Saccharomyces cerevisiae S288C: one gene and its partners. The protein of the gene in region 1 purifies or fractionates together with the protein of each later gene. This does not show direct contact. Each region holds a gene or a part of one and is shown in the gene's direction. Other genes may lie near its edges. The genes, in order: ATP5, ATP3, QCR10 and ATP20.

The links.
Region 2: the proteins of ATP5 (region 1) and ATP3 purify together in Saccharomyces cerevisiae (affinity purification with mass spectrometry; 3 studies listed by BioGRID). This does not show direct contact.
Region 3: the proteins of ATP5 (region 1) and QCR10 purify together in Saccharomyces cerevisiae (affinity purification with mass spectrometry, with the first as the bait; 2 studies listed by BioGRID). This does not show direct contact.
Region 4: the proteins of ATP5 (region 1) and ATP20 purify together in Saccharomyces cerevisiae (affinity purification with mass spectrometry, with the first as the bait; 2 studies listed by BioGRID). This does not show direct contact.

Annotation. Positions count from the first base shown.
Region 1 is NC_001136.10:1,057,607-1,060,426, reverse strand, and holds ATP5 (F1F0 ATP synthase subunit 5), read left to right. Parts: upstream 1-1,612; coding exon 1,613-2,251; downstream 2,252-2,820. Other genes in the region: rRNA-processing protein BFR2, read right to left, coding at 1-800. UniProt on the Saccharomyces cerevisiae protein: Mitochondrial membrane ATP synthase (F(1)F(0) ATP synthase or Complex V) produces ATP from ADP in the presence of a proton gradient across the membrane which is generated by electron transport complexes of the respiratory chain.
Region 2 is NC_001134.8:313,677-317,013, forward strand, and holds ATP3 (F1F0 ATP synthase subunit gamma), read left to right. Parts: upstream 1-1,898; coding exon 1,899-2,834; downstream 2,835-3,337. Other genes in the region: chitin synthase CHS2, read left to right, coding at 1-1,113; FIG1 (Fig1p), read left to right, coding at 3,292-3,337. UniProt on the Saccharomyces cerevisiae protein: Mitochondrial membrane ATP synthase (F(1)F(0) ATP synthase or Complex V) produces ATP from ADP in the presence of a proton gradient across the membrane which is generated by electron transport complexes of the respiratory chain.
Region 3 is NC_001140.6:105,849-108,629, forward strand, and holds QCR10 (ubiquinol--cytochrome-c reductase subunit 10), read left to right. Parts: upstream 1-1,977; coding exon 1,978-1,983; intron 1,984-2,046; coding exon 2,047-2,274; downstream 2,275-2,781. Other genes in the region: oxysterol-binding protein related protein OSH7, read left to right, coding at 207-1,520.
Region 4 is NC_001148.4:598,089-600,792, forward strand, and holds ATP20 (F1F0 ATP synthase subunit g), read left to right. Parts: upstream 1-1,781; coding exon 1,782-2,129; downstream 2,130-2,704. Other genes in the region: MCM DNA helicase complex subunit MCM4, read left to right, coding at 1-1,463; AGC1 (citrin), read right to left, coding at 2,561-2,704. UniProt on the Saccharomyces cerevisiae protein: Mitochondrial membrane ATP synthase (F(1)F(0) ATP synthase or Complex V) produces ATP from ADP in the presence of a proton gradient across the membrane which is generated by electron transport complexes of the respiratory chain.

The DNA of each region.
Region 1 (2,820 bases):
GACAATTTATGCTTCGCCACCTCTTCATTTTGAGTGATATGATCGCCAAGTTGGAATTTTATTCTGAAATTTATCAACCGATTGAATAAATTATTGAACAGTTTTTCGTTTTCCTTCAGCAAACGCTTTGTTTCCTCTGAATCATCCATTTTAGCCTCTTCCCAGGACTCTGTAGTTAATGGGAGCTTATTTGCTGCAATTACAGCTTTTTGTAGTTTTATTCTCAAATCAATGATGTTGTCAAATAATTTTGTCTGTTGTAAAATGGAATAACCCTTCGAAGCATCTCTTTGAACTGATTGAGACAGTTTGTTAATAGCTTGTTTAGTCTCTTGTTGAATTAGTTTCGATAGTGCATGCCTTTTCTGTTGAGCCTCCTCCGTTTCACCGCCGTCCGCGTCTGATTCTTCTTCATCAATCTCTACTTCTTCATCTTCAGAATCTGTCCTGAATGAAAGAGCATCTTCCTCTTTTTCTTCTTCCTCTTCTTCTTCTTCTTCTTCGTCCTCATTCTCGGAAACTTCTTCATATAATGCTTGTCTTGAACCTTTAACACCTGTATATTTTGGATCGTTTAGTTCTAAACCTTTTTCTGCTCTTAACTTAGACTTTTCCACCTCCAAATAGTGCGCCTTCTTGGTTTCTTCTGTGTTGCTATTTCCATAGTCGCTTAAATCACTTTCTCCATTTTTTTCATTGTGTTGAAATAAAGATGCATTTTCCTCATCTTCAATATCGAAGTCTTTATTGACCGGTTTAATGGCGATATCGGAAATTTGATCCGCTAGTGATTTTTCCATCTTTTTTTGCTCTATATTTATTGGTAACAGTGCTTATTGTTACTCAATGTATGGTACGCTGCATACCTATCAAGATGCGACTACATATATACAATTATCTCATCTCATCGCGTATTGAAAAATTTTCCATCTTCTAATTTTTCAGAACCCATAAATTCGGGTAACGATCAGTGGAAAAAACTTAAATCCGCAGTAATAGGCTTGCAAAGGACCAAAGACAGCATATGCAGCAGTTAAGAAATCTAAGAATGCATTGTATATTAGAGTAGTATATGGAAAAGCTCGGACTGGGAGCCGTAAAATCTCTTTCCCGTAAGATCTGGCTGCAAACCTGGTCTACATAAATGTAGTACATTATAAGGGACTACCAAGAAATACGAAGCGCTCAGATATCTCTTAAAGTTCATTTTTTTGCCGGAATAATCTTGGTTTAGTAACTTATAAAACTACTTACGTCCAATAAATCGTTATATTTTATGCCGTCGTCATAAAGTGGACACTTTCGAGAGACGGTGCTGGCCAATAAGATGCTGATATTTGAAATATCATTTACCCGGGCCCGGGTGGGAAAAACAAGGAATTAAAGATAATGAAGTGATCTTTTGGCGAGATAGTAAAACTTTCAATTATCTAGGAACAATTTCAAACGCCAATTGTTAACTTTGTGTACAGTATTTCTAGTTTTTATCTCATTGAAAACAAAATTCAGTCAACTTGGAAATTTAAGCAGGCTACTGTGGCATTGAGATATTTTTCCGCAGAGTAAGAACCGATTAGCAAGTTACCGCATTATTTTTAAACCGTGGACAATCATGTTTAATAGAGTCTTTACCAGGTCATTTGCATCAAGCTTAAGAGCTGCTGCTTCCAAAGCTGCTGCTCCCCCACCGGTGAGATTGTTCGGTGTTGAGGGCACTTACGCAACAGCTTTATATCAGGCCGCTGCAAAGAACTCCTCTATTGATGCTGCCTTTCAATCTTTGCAAAAAGTTGAAAGCACAGTCAAAAAGAATCCAAAATTAGGTCACTTATTACTGAATCCTGCATTGTCATTGAAGGACAGAAATTCTGTCATTGATGCCATCGTGGAGACTCACAAGAATTTGGATGGTTATGTCGTTAACCTATTGAAGGTTCTTTCCGAAAATAACAGACTGGGATGTTTTGAAAAAATTGCGTCTGACTTTGGCGTTTTAAACGATGCTCACAACGGGTTACTTAAAGGTACAGTGACTAGTGCTGAACCATTGGATCCTAAATCTTTCAAGAGGATTGAAAAAGCTTTGAGCGCCTCCAAATTGGTGGGGCAAGGTAAATCTTTGAAGCTGGAAAACGTGGTTAAGCCAGAGATTAAGGGTGGTTTGATTGTAGAACTTGGTGACAAGACTGTTGACTTAAGCATTTCTACAAAGATTCAAAAACTGAATAAGGTCTTAGAGGACAGCATTTAACGTTAATAATATAGTTGGATATGCTCAACTCGTTTGATGTTACTTTCTTTGCCTCCCTCCTAATTTTTGATTCTGTTCAAATATATATTCTTTTCCGTGAATTTTTCCTAAACATCAAAATTACGTACATATACGAATAAATAAGAAACCCCTCTAAAAAGTGAATTTTTTTGTTCGAGACAACCATTTTAATCATATATATGTTCGTGTATCCAGGCAAACTTATATTAATCGCAAAAAAAAAAATTATAAGTGTATATATGGAATAAACATAAAAAATAATAAAAGAAGAAAAAAAAAAATAATGAAGAATTCTCATCAGTTTTCGAAGATTTCAAGAAAGTCCGAAGAACATTTAAGACCTTTTTGATAATTCAAGATGTGCATGCACAATAATAACCATTTCATAGTTGAATTTTGATGTATTCTTTCGTTACAAATCAAATATATAGTCAAAGTCACGCCTATACACTTAATAATATGTCTTGATGTATATAAATGGATAATAAATACAAACGTGGGAAGTCGGAGACATTGCCTTTACCCAGCAATTGAACGGGAGGTATGCA
Region 2 (3,337 bases), on another chromosome or scaffold:
GACGTTTCTGAATTTATTTCTCAAAGAAGACGTTGGTTAAATGGTGCAATGTTTGCCGCAATTTATGCTCAATTGCATTTCTACCAAATTTGGAAAACTAAACATTCTGTTGTACGCAAGTTCTTTCTTCATGTTGAATTCCTTTATCAATTTATTCAGATGCTTTTTTCCTGGTTTTCTATTGCAAATTTCGTTCTTACCTTTTATTATTTAGCAGGATCAATGAATTTAGTTATTAAACATGGTGAGGCCTTATTCATTTTTTTTAAATACCTGATCTTTTGTGACTTGGCAAGTTTATTCATTATTTCCATGGGTAATAGACCCCAGGGCGCGAAACATTTATTCATTACCTCCATGGTTATACTGTCTATATGTGCCACATATTCTCTAATTTGTGGGTTTGTTTTTGCTTTCAAGTCGTTAGCTTCTGGAACGGAATCCCACAAAATATTTGTCGACATCGTTATCTCATTGCTCTCCACCTATGGCCTATACTTTTTCTCATCACTGATGTACCTAGATCCTTGGCACATGTTTACATCATCCATACAATACTTTTTGACACTTCCCGCCTTTACGTGTACTTTACAGATTTTTGCCTTCTGTAATACACACGACGTTTCCTGGGGTACTAAAGGTTCCACACAGGAGTCCAAGCAATTGTCCAAGGCCATTGTCGTTCAAGGTCCAGATGGGAAACAGATTGTGGAAACAGATTGGCCTCAGGAAGTTGATAAGAAGTTTTTGGAAATAAAAAGTCGTTTGAAAGAACCAGAATTTGAAGAATCAAGCGGCAATGAAAAACAATCCAAGAATGATTATTATAGAGATATAAGAACCAGAATTGTGATGATTTGGATGCTATCAAATCTAATACTGATCATGTCTATAATTCAAGTCTTTACACCACAAGATACTGACAATGGTTATTTGATATTCATTTTATGGTCTGTGGCCGCTTTAGCTGCCTTTAGGGTGGTTGGTTCCATGGCCTTTTTGTTCATGAAATACTTGCGTATAATAGTGAGTTACAGAAATAAAGTTGAAGGTAGCGGCTCATGGGAAGTCTCTAAATTAGACTTACCAAATGTTTTCCACAAAAAGGGCTAATGCCAGTATTTTTCAGCTAATTTCTCGTCATTCCCTCTTTTTTCTCATTCTGTTTTAGAATGTACAGGTTATGACAACCATTACCTTCTAGGATATTTTGACATTTCTCTCTTAGACTTTTTATATATAATATACATGTTTCAATACCAAATATAATGTAGCATAACATAATCTATCTTTTTACTCATAGACCTTTACTTTCCTCTCTAAAAGCCGTGTCGCAGTAACTGGTGACGCTAAAGTTCTCCGGCGTTTTTTTATGTATGAGCTGGGCATCAAGAGCTTTTGAGATTTTCCAAGTAGTAACTCATCTTTCTGAGTGTGCTATCAAATACATACTAAGGAGAATAAACTCTTGTTATTACGTATTCTTCATCCTTATGGGTAGAGAGCGCACTGTTTTAGTACATTTTCTAGACGTCGAAACGTAGAGCAATTGTCGATAAAACAAAAAAAAAGTAAGAAGATATATGAATAGGAGCTGTCGCTAGAACTAGTAAGTATATGATGGAGATATAATAAGTGAATTATTCGATATTTAATGAACGTTCTCATTTATTTGGAAGAAATGTTTATCACGTGATGGAGAACCAATGAGCGGCGAGTAACTACGCGAGGAACCCGGACCGCAATAACGATTAAAGAAGGCCCGGAAGGGAGATGCTTAAATGATTATCACTCAGTTAAAAAAGACAAATAAGAAACTATTGAGACTGAACCGTTTTGGTTAATTTCAGGTGGAAACAATTGAAGACGAGCAGTAAACATTATTTTATTTAGTAGTCATGTTGTCAAGAATTGTATCAAACAATGCAACACGCTCCGTAATGTGCCACCAAGCGCAAGTGGGTATTCTTTATAAGACTAACCCAGTGAGAACTTATGCTACTTTGAAAGAAGTGGAAATGCGTTTGAAATCTATCAAAAATATTGAGAAGATCACAAAAACTATGAAGATTGTTGCATCTACAAGATTGAGTAAAGCTGAAAAGGCTAAAATTTCCGCAAAGAAGATGGATGAAGCAGAGCAGTTGTTTTACAAGAACGCCGAAACCAAAAATTTGGATGTTGAGGCTACTGAAACAGGTGCTCCTAAAGAGTTGATTGTTGCTATCACCTCTGATAAGGGGTTGTGTGGTTCTATCCACTCTCAATTGGCTAAAGCTGTGAGAAGACATTTGAATGATCAACCAAACGCCGATATAGTCACTATTGGTGATAAAATTAAAATGCAGCTATTGAGAACCCATCCTAACAACATTAAATTGTCTATTAATGGAATTGGTAAAGATGCCCCAACTTTCCAAGAATCTGCTTTGATTGCCGATAAGTTATTGAGTGTCATGAAGGCCGGCACTTACCCAAAGATTTCCATTTTCTACAATGACCCAGTGTCTTCCCTATCTTTTGAACCATCTGAAAAACCGATCTTTAACGCCAAGACCATTGAACAATCCCCATCATTCGGCAAATTTGAGATCGACACGGACGCAAACGTTCCAAGAGATTTGTTTGAATATACTTTGGCTAACCAAATGTTGACAGCAATGGCTCAAGGTTATGCTGCTGAAATTTCCGCCAGAAGAAACGCTATGGATAACGCTTCCAAGAATGCCGGTGATATGATCAATCGTTACTCTATCTTGTACAACAGAACAAGACAAGCTGTCATTACTAATGAACTGGTTGATATTATTACTGGTGCTTCCTCTTTGGGATGATAAAAAAATCACCCTGCATTGCCTCTTTATTTGACGTTGTTTTTGTAGAACATGAAACGAATTTTGACTTGATGAGACGAAGTATATATCCAAAGAATACCTTAAATAGAAAAGGAAAGATAATAAATACTAAACACTACTATATATTCAGGTAAAATACAAAAATTATAACATTTTTAAAACTTTTTTTTTTTGAAAGTCCTTCTCGCTTTAGGATTTTTTCCCATTAAGATTATGATGGTTTCATGTATGTGTCAGTTAAAAAAAATATGGCTAAGTAGCAATGAAACGAACCAAGAAAATGAAAACAATATATAGTGCTGTTGAAATAACAAAGACATTGGTATATATTTGTAAAATGTCTGTTAAATGTTTTTTATCTCAGGTTCTTGCTTGTCTTTGGTAGAAGAAATTATAGTAAACAAACAAACAAACAAACAAAAAAAAAAAAAAAAAAATGGTCGCAATCTCAATGATTTGGTTTTTTACCAAGCGTATGCCCA
Region 3 (2,781 bases), on another chromosome or scaffold:
AAATATGTATCAGTATATTATAGGAATGTTAATTCGCTCGTGCGTACTAATTTTTCCGAGGTCACTCGCAAATCCAGAATTCTAAAGGATGAAAGTATATTTTCTGAAATCGTCAACAAAGAAGGGATGTGATATATTCAAAATGGAAAGATTCCTCCTTCTTTCATTTAGAAATAGGAAACTAACCAGTAAATTAGAAACAAAGAATGGCTCTCAATAAACTAAAGAATATACCTTCTTTAACAAACAGTTCTCATAGCTCAATTAACGGCATTGCATCCAATGCTGCAAATTCCAAACCAAGCGGAGCAGACACGGATGATATCGATGAGAATGATGAATCTGGGCAAAGTATTCTATTAAATATTATTTCCCAGCTGAAGCCAGGTTGTGATTTATCTAGAATCACACTTCCGACATTTATTCTGGAAAAAAAATCGATGTTGGAGAGAATCACTAATCAATTACAATTCCCAGATGTTCTTTTAGAAGCACACTCCAATAAAGACGGGCTGCAAAGGTTCGTTAAAGTGGTAGCATGGTACCTAGCAGGTTGGCACATTGGGCCCAGGGCTGTGAAGAAGCCCCTAAATCCCATTCTTGGAGAACACTTTACAGCTTATTGGGATTTGCCTAACAAGCAACAAGCCTTTTACATTGCAGAACAAACGAGTCACCATCCTCCTGAATCTGCGTATTTTTACATGATTCCAGAATCGAATATTAGAGTTGATGGAGTTGTTGTGCCAAAATCGAAATTTTTAGGAAACTCAAGTGCTGCAATGATGGAGGGGTTAACTGTATTGCAATTCCTTGATATCAAGGATGCAAATGGTAAACCAGAGAAATATACTCTATCGCAACCAAATGTTTACGCAAGGGGAATTCTGTTTGGCAAGATGAGGATTGAATTGGGAGATCACATGGTCATTATGGGTCCTAAGTATCAAGTGGATATTGAGTTCAAAACAAAGGGCTTTATTTCTGGTACCTATGATGCAATTGAAGGTACAATTAAGGATTACGATGGTAAGGAATACTACCAAATTAGTGGTAAGTGGAATGATATTATGTATATCAAAGATTTGAGGGAAAAAAGCTCTAAAAAGACTGTTCTCTTCGATACTCATCAGCATTTTCCTCTAGCTCCTAAAGTCCGCCCATTGGAGGAACAGGGAGAATACGAATCGAGAAGGCTTTGGAAGAAGGTTACGGATGCGCTGGCTGTACGTGACCATGAAGTAGCTACAGAAGAAAAGTTTCAGATAGAAAACCGCCAAAGAGAGCTGGCCAAAAAGAGGGCCGAAGACGGCGTTGAATTTCATTCAAAACTATTTAGAAGGGCAGAGCCAGGTGAGGATTTAGATTATTATATTTACAAGCACATCCCTGAAGGGACCGACAAGCATGAAGAACAGATCAGGAGCATTTTGGAAACTGCCCCGATTTTACCAGGACAGACATTCACTGAAAAATTTTCTATTCCGGCTTATAAAAAGCATGGAATCCAAAAGAATTAGGCTTCTCATTCTATTTTAATTATACTAGTACGATTTCTCACTCTGTAATTTAATATCAGTGTAATATGCACCTAGTTATGGGTAGTTTTTGCTAACGTTACGAGCCGCGAAACTGTCCTCAATCTTCACCACTACCTCTAATGACTGAAGAATGCTATGCGATATAACGCTGTCGCACTTTGAATATATACTTATATTTACATAGTTTTCAAGTGCGTATTACTATTGCAAAGTAGTATTTTGTCACGTGATTTTGATCCAATTAAAACTAAATATGGTTCAACCCGTTGTTTCCGCATCAAAAAACCATACCATTTATCAAGGGGACGGGATATATCACATAACAGTTTGAATGCATAATTTGTTATAGATATCTTCTGGAATAATCTTCACAGCAAAAGCGCAAGTCGAATAATATATCGATAAATACAATCCATAAGACTTAAAACTAACCTCAATGGCGGTAAGTATCCTATCATATTATGTGAGCTAGAACCGAATTAGTATACTAACATTTATAATACAGTACACTTCTCATCTGTCTTCAAAAACTGGTCTACATTTCGGTAGACTTTCTTTAAGAAGTTTAACAGCTTATGCTCCGAATTTAATGTTATGGGGTGGTGCTAGCATGCTTGGGCTATTTGTATTCACAGAAGGATGGCCTAAGTTTCAAGATACGCTATACAAAAAGATTCCGTTGTTAGGACCTACATTGGAAGATCATACTCCACCAGAAGATAAACCTAATTGAAGCCAAAACATCCAACCGGCTGAGTGATTTTATTTATTTGTTTTACGTTCTTTTCTATCATTTTGGAAGAGGAATTAATGCAAAACACATTTGTATTTTTTTTTATTTTTGCATATTCTCGATTATCTATACATATTTTTAAACTGGATCATAAAAGGTATAAAAAGTAATTGATCCATACAACATTTTTAAATATTTACCCCTCTATTTTCAGAATATTTACTAAAACATCAGTTATCAAAGAGTAGGGAAAAGTTAACTACAGGTTTGTTTTTCCTCTTTTTATGTATCTTTTGAGCTTTGTAATTGGGCAGCACATCTCTATGTTTTCAGGGAAACCTATTTCATTCGCCATTTTGATGATTTAGGCATACGCCAATGCTAACGCCGTTTCTTGTAATTTCTATTTTTTCAAATGGAGTACTTTACCTTCCTCCCGCAGCTGGAACTTTCAACCCGCCGGAAGAAAAGACCAAATAATATTATAATTAATATTTAAAACCCTTG
Region 4 (2,704 bases), on another chromosome or scaffold:
ATTCCAGGCAACGCGTACTAAAGTCGTTGTATAAAACATACGTCGATGTGGTCCACGTTAAAAAAGTTTCAGATAAGAGGTTAGACGTCGATACTTCTACTATTGAACAAGAATTAATGCAGAACAAGGTAGATCATAACGAGGTCGAAGAAGTAAGACAAATTACTGATCAGGATTTAGCAAAAATTCGCGAGGTTGCGGCAAGAGAAGATTTATACAGTTTATTAGCCCGCTCTATTGCCCCAAGTATTTACGAGCTAGAAGATGTCAAGAAGGGTATATTACTTCAGCTATTTGGCGGCACGAATAAAACCTTTACCAAGGGTGGCCGTTATAGAGGTGACATAAATATTTTACTTTGTGGGGATCCTTCTACTTCCAAATCGCAAATTTTGCAATACGTTCACAAAATTACTCCTCGTGGTGTGTATACTTCGGGTAAAGGTTCATCTGCCGTTGGTTTAACTGCTTATATTACAAGGGATGTCGACACAAAACAACTTGTTTTGGAAAGTGGTGCATTAGTATTGTCTGATGGAGGTGTTTGTTGTATTGACGAGTTTGATAAAATGAGTGATTCTACAAGGTCCGTCTTGCACGAAGTCATGGAACAGCAGACTATTTCAATCGCAAAAGCGGGAATTATCACAACACTTAATGCCAGAAGTTCTATTTTGGCCAGTGCTAACCCAATTGGTTCACGCTACAACCCCAATTTGCCTGTGACTGAAAATATTGATCTACCGCCCCCACTACTTTCGAGATTCGATCTGGTCTATCTTGTCCTTGATAAGGTTGATGAGAAAAATGACAGAGAACTAGCCAAACACTTAACAAATCTTTACCTGGAAGATAAGCCCGAACATATTTCTCAAGACGACGTGCTACCAGTTGAATTTTTAACGATGTATATTAGTTATGCAAAGGAGCACATACACCCAATAATCACCGAGGCCGCTAAGACTGAGCTTGTTCGTGCTTATGTAGGAATGAGAAAGATGGGTGACGATTCGAGATCCGATGAGAAGAGAATCACAGCTACCACAAGACAACTTGAAAGTATGATTCGTTTGGCTGAGGCGCACGCCAAAATGAAATTGAAAAACGTCGTAGAGCTGGAGGATGTTCAAGAAGCCGTTAGATTAATTAGATCAGCCATAAAAGATTATGCAACAGACCCTAAAACCGGTAAAATCGACATGAATTTAGTTCAAACAGGTAAATCAGTTATTCAGAGAAAACTACAGGAGGATTTGTCAAGGGAAATTATGAATGTTTTGAAGGATCAGGCATCAGACTCAATGTCATTCAATGAGCTTATAAAACAAATCAATGAACACTCTCAAGATAGAGTTGAGTCTTCTGATATCCAGGAAGCCTTGTCAAGATTGCAACAAGAGGACAAGGTCATTGTCCTTGGCGAGGGTGTAAGGAGATCAGTTCGCCTGAATAACCGTGTCTGATGCTGTCTACTACAATCATTCCCTGCGTAACAATTAATAAATACTAATTAATTATAGCAAGTTTGTATTTTTTACATCCTTATGCTTTGTAACACTATTCAATACTGTATGTAGGCTCGATTGAGTGGGCGGCTTTTTTCTTATTCCTGATTGGCTGAAAGAAAATATTGTTAAACGCACTAAATTTATCCCGAAGGATGATTACATTTAAAGACCGAAAAATGAAGATGCAAAGATCCCTCATATTTTCTACTCCAGTCCAAATCGACAAGATAAACCTGCCGATAAATCATATTTCAGAACGCTAATCAATTCATCATGCTAAGCAGGATCCAAAATTATACCAGTGGGTTGGTTTCTAAAGCAAATCTTTTGTCATCAAAGGCTTTATACTATGGTAAAGTCGGTGCCGAGATTTCAAAACAGATTTATTTAAAAGAGGGTCTTCAACCACCAACTGTTGCCCAGTTCAAATCAGTGTATTCGAACCTTTATAAGCAGAGCCTAAACTTTGCTCTAAAGCCTACAGAAGTTTTATCGTGTTTAAAAAACATCCAAAAGAATGAACTATTAAAATATGGCGCATATGGTATTCAGTTGATAGGGTTTTATTCTGTCGGTGAAATAATTGGAAGAAGAAAATTAGTGGGATATAAACATCACTAAGCTTTTTAATTCTATCTATTCGCAAAACCCTTGTATATTCGTTAATTAAATTAAATCAATGTACAAATAGAACAAAACTAGAAAAAAGAATATATATTCATCTCAATTCTATTTATTTTCTTTTCATGACATACAATGGCATTAAAAGCGATATCGAGTTATATTACATTAGCTTCTTGCCGCCAGTTATTTATGAAATAGGCCAATATAACTTTTCTGTAAAAAAGAAAACTTGACCTCAGAGCTTTCATTACACTTATTAAGAACAACATACTTGTTGCACTATAGTAAAAACTACAGTGAAATTGATCTCAGGATCATTAGTAATTTTTCTCACTATAAGAAAAAAAAAAAAACATATATTTTGCTATGAATTATAATAAGTAAATATATACATATATATGTACAGAGAAACTGACGAAGAAAATAAATCACCCGTTAATGCTTCTTAGGTGCTCTTGAAAGTTTTTATAAACTGAAGAGTCAAACCTAGAAAAGTTATTGTCCAAATCAATGAATGTTTTCGCAATTTGACAGCTTTTATAGTAATAATTGGCATGTTTTCTATCATCAGA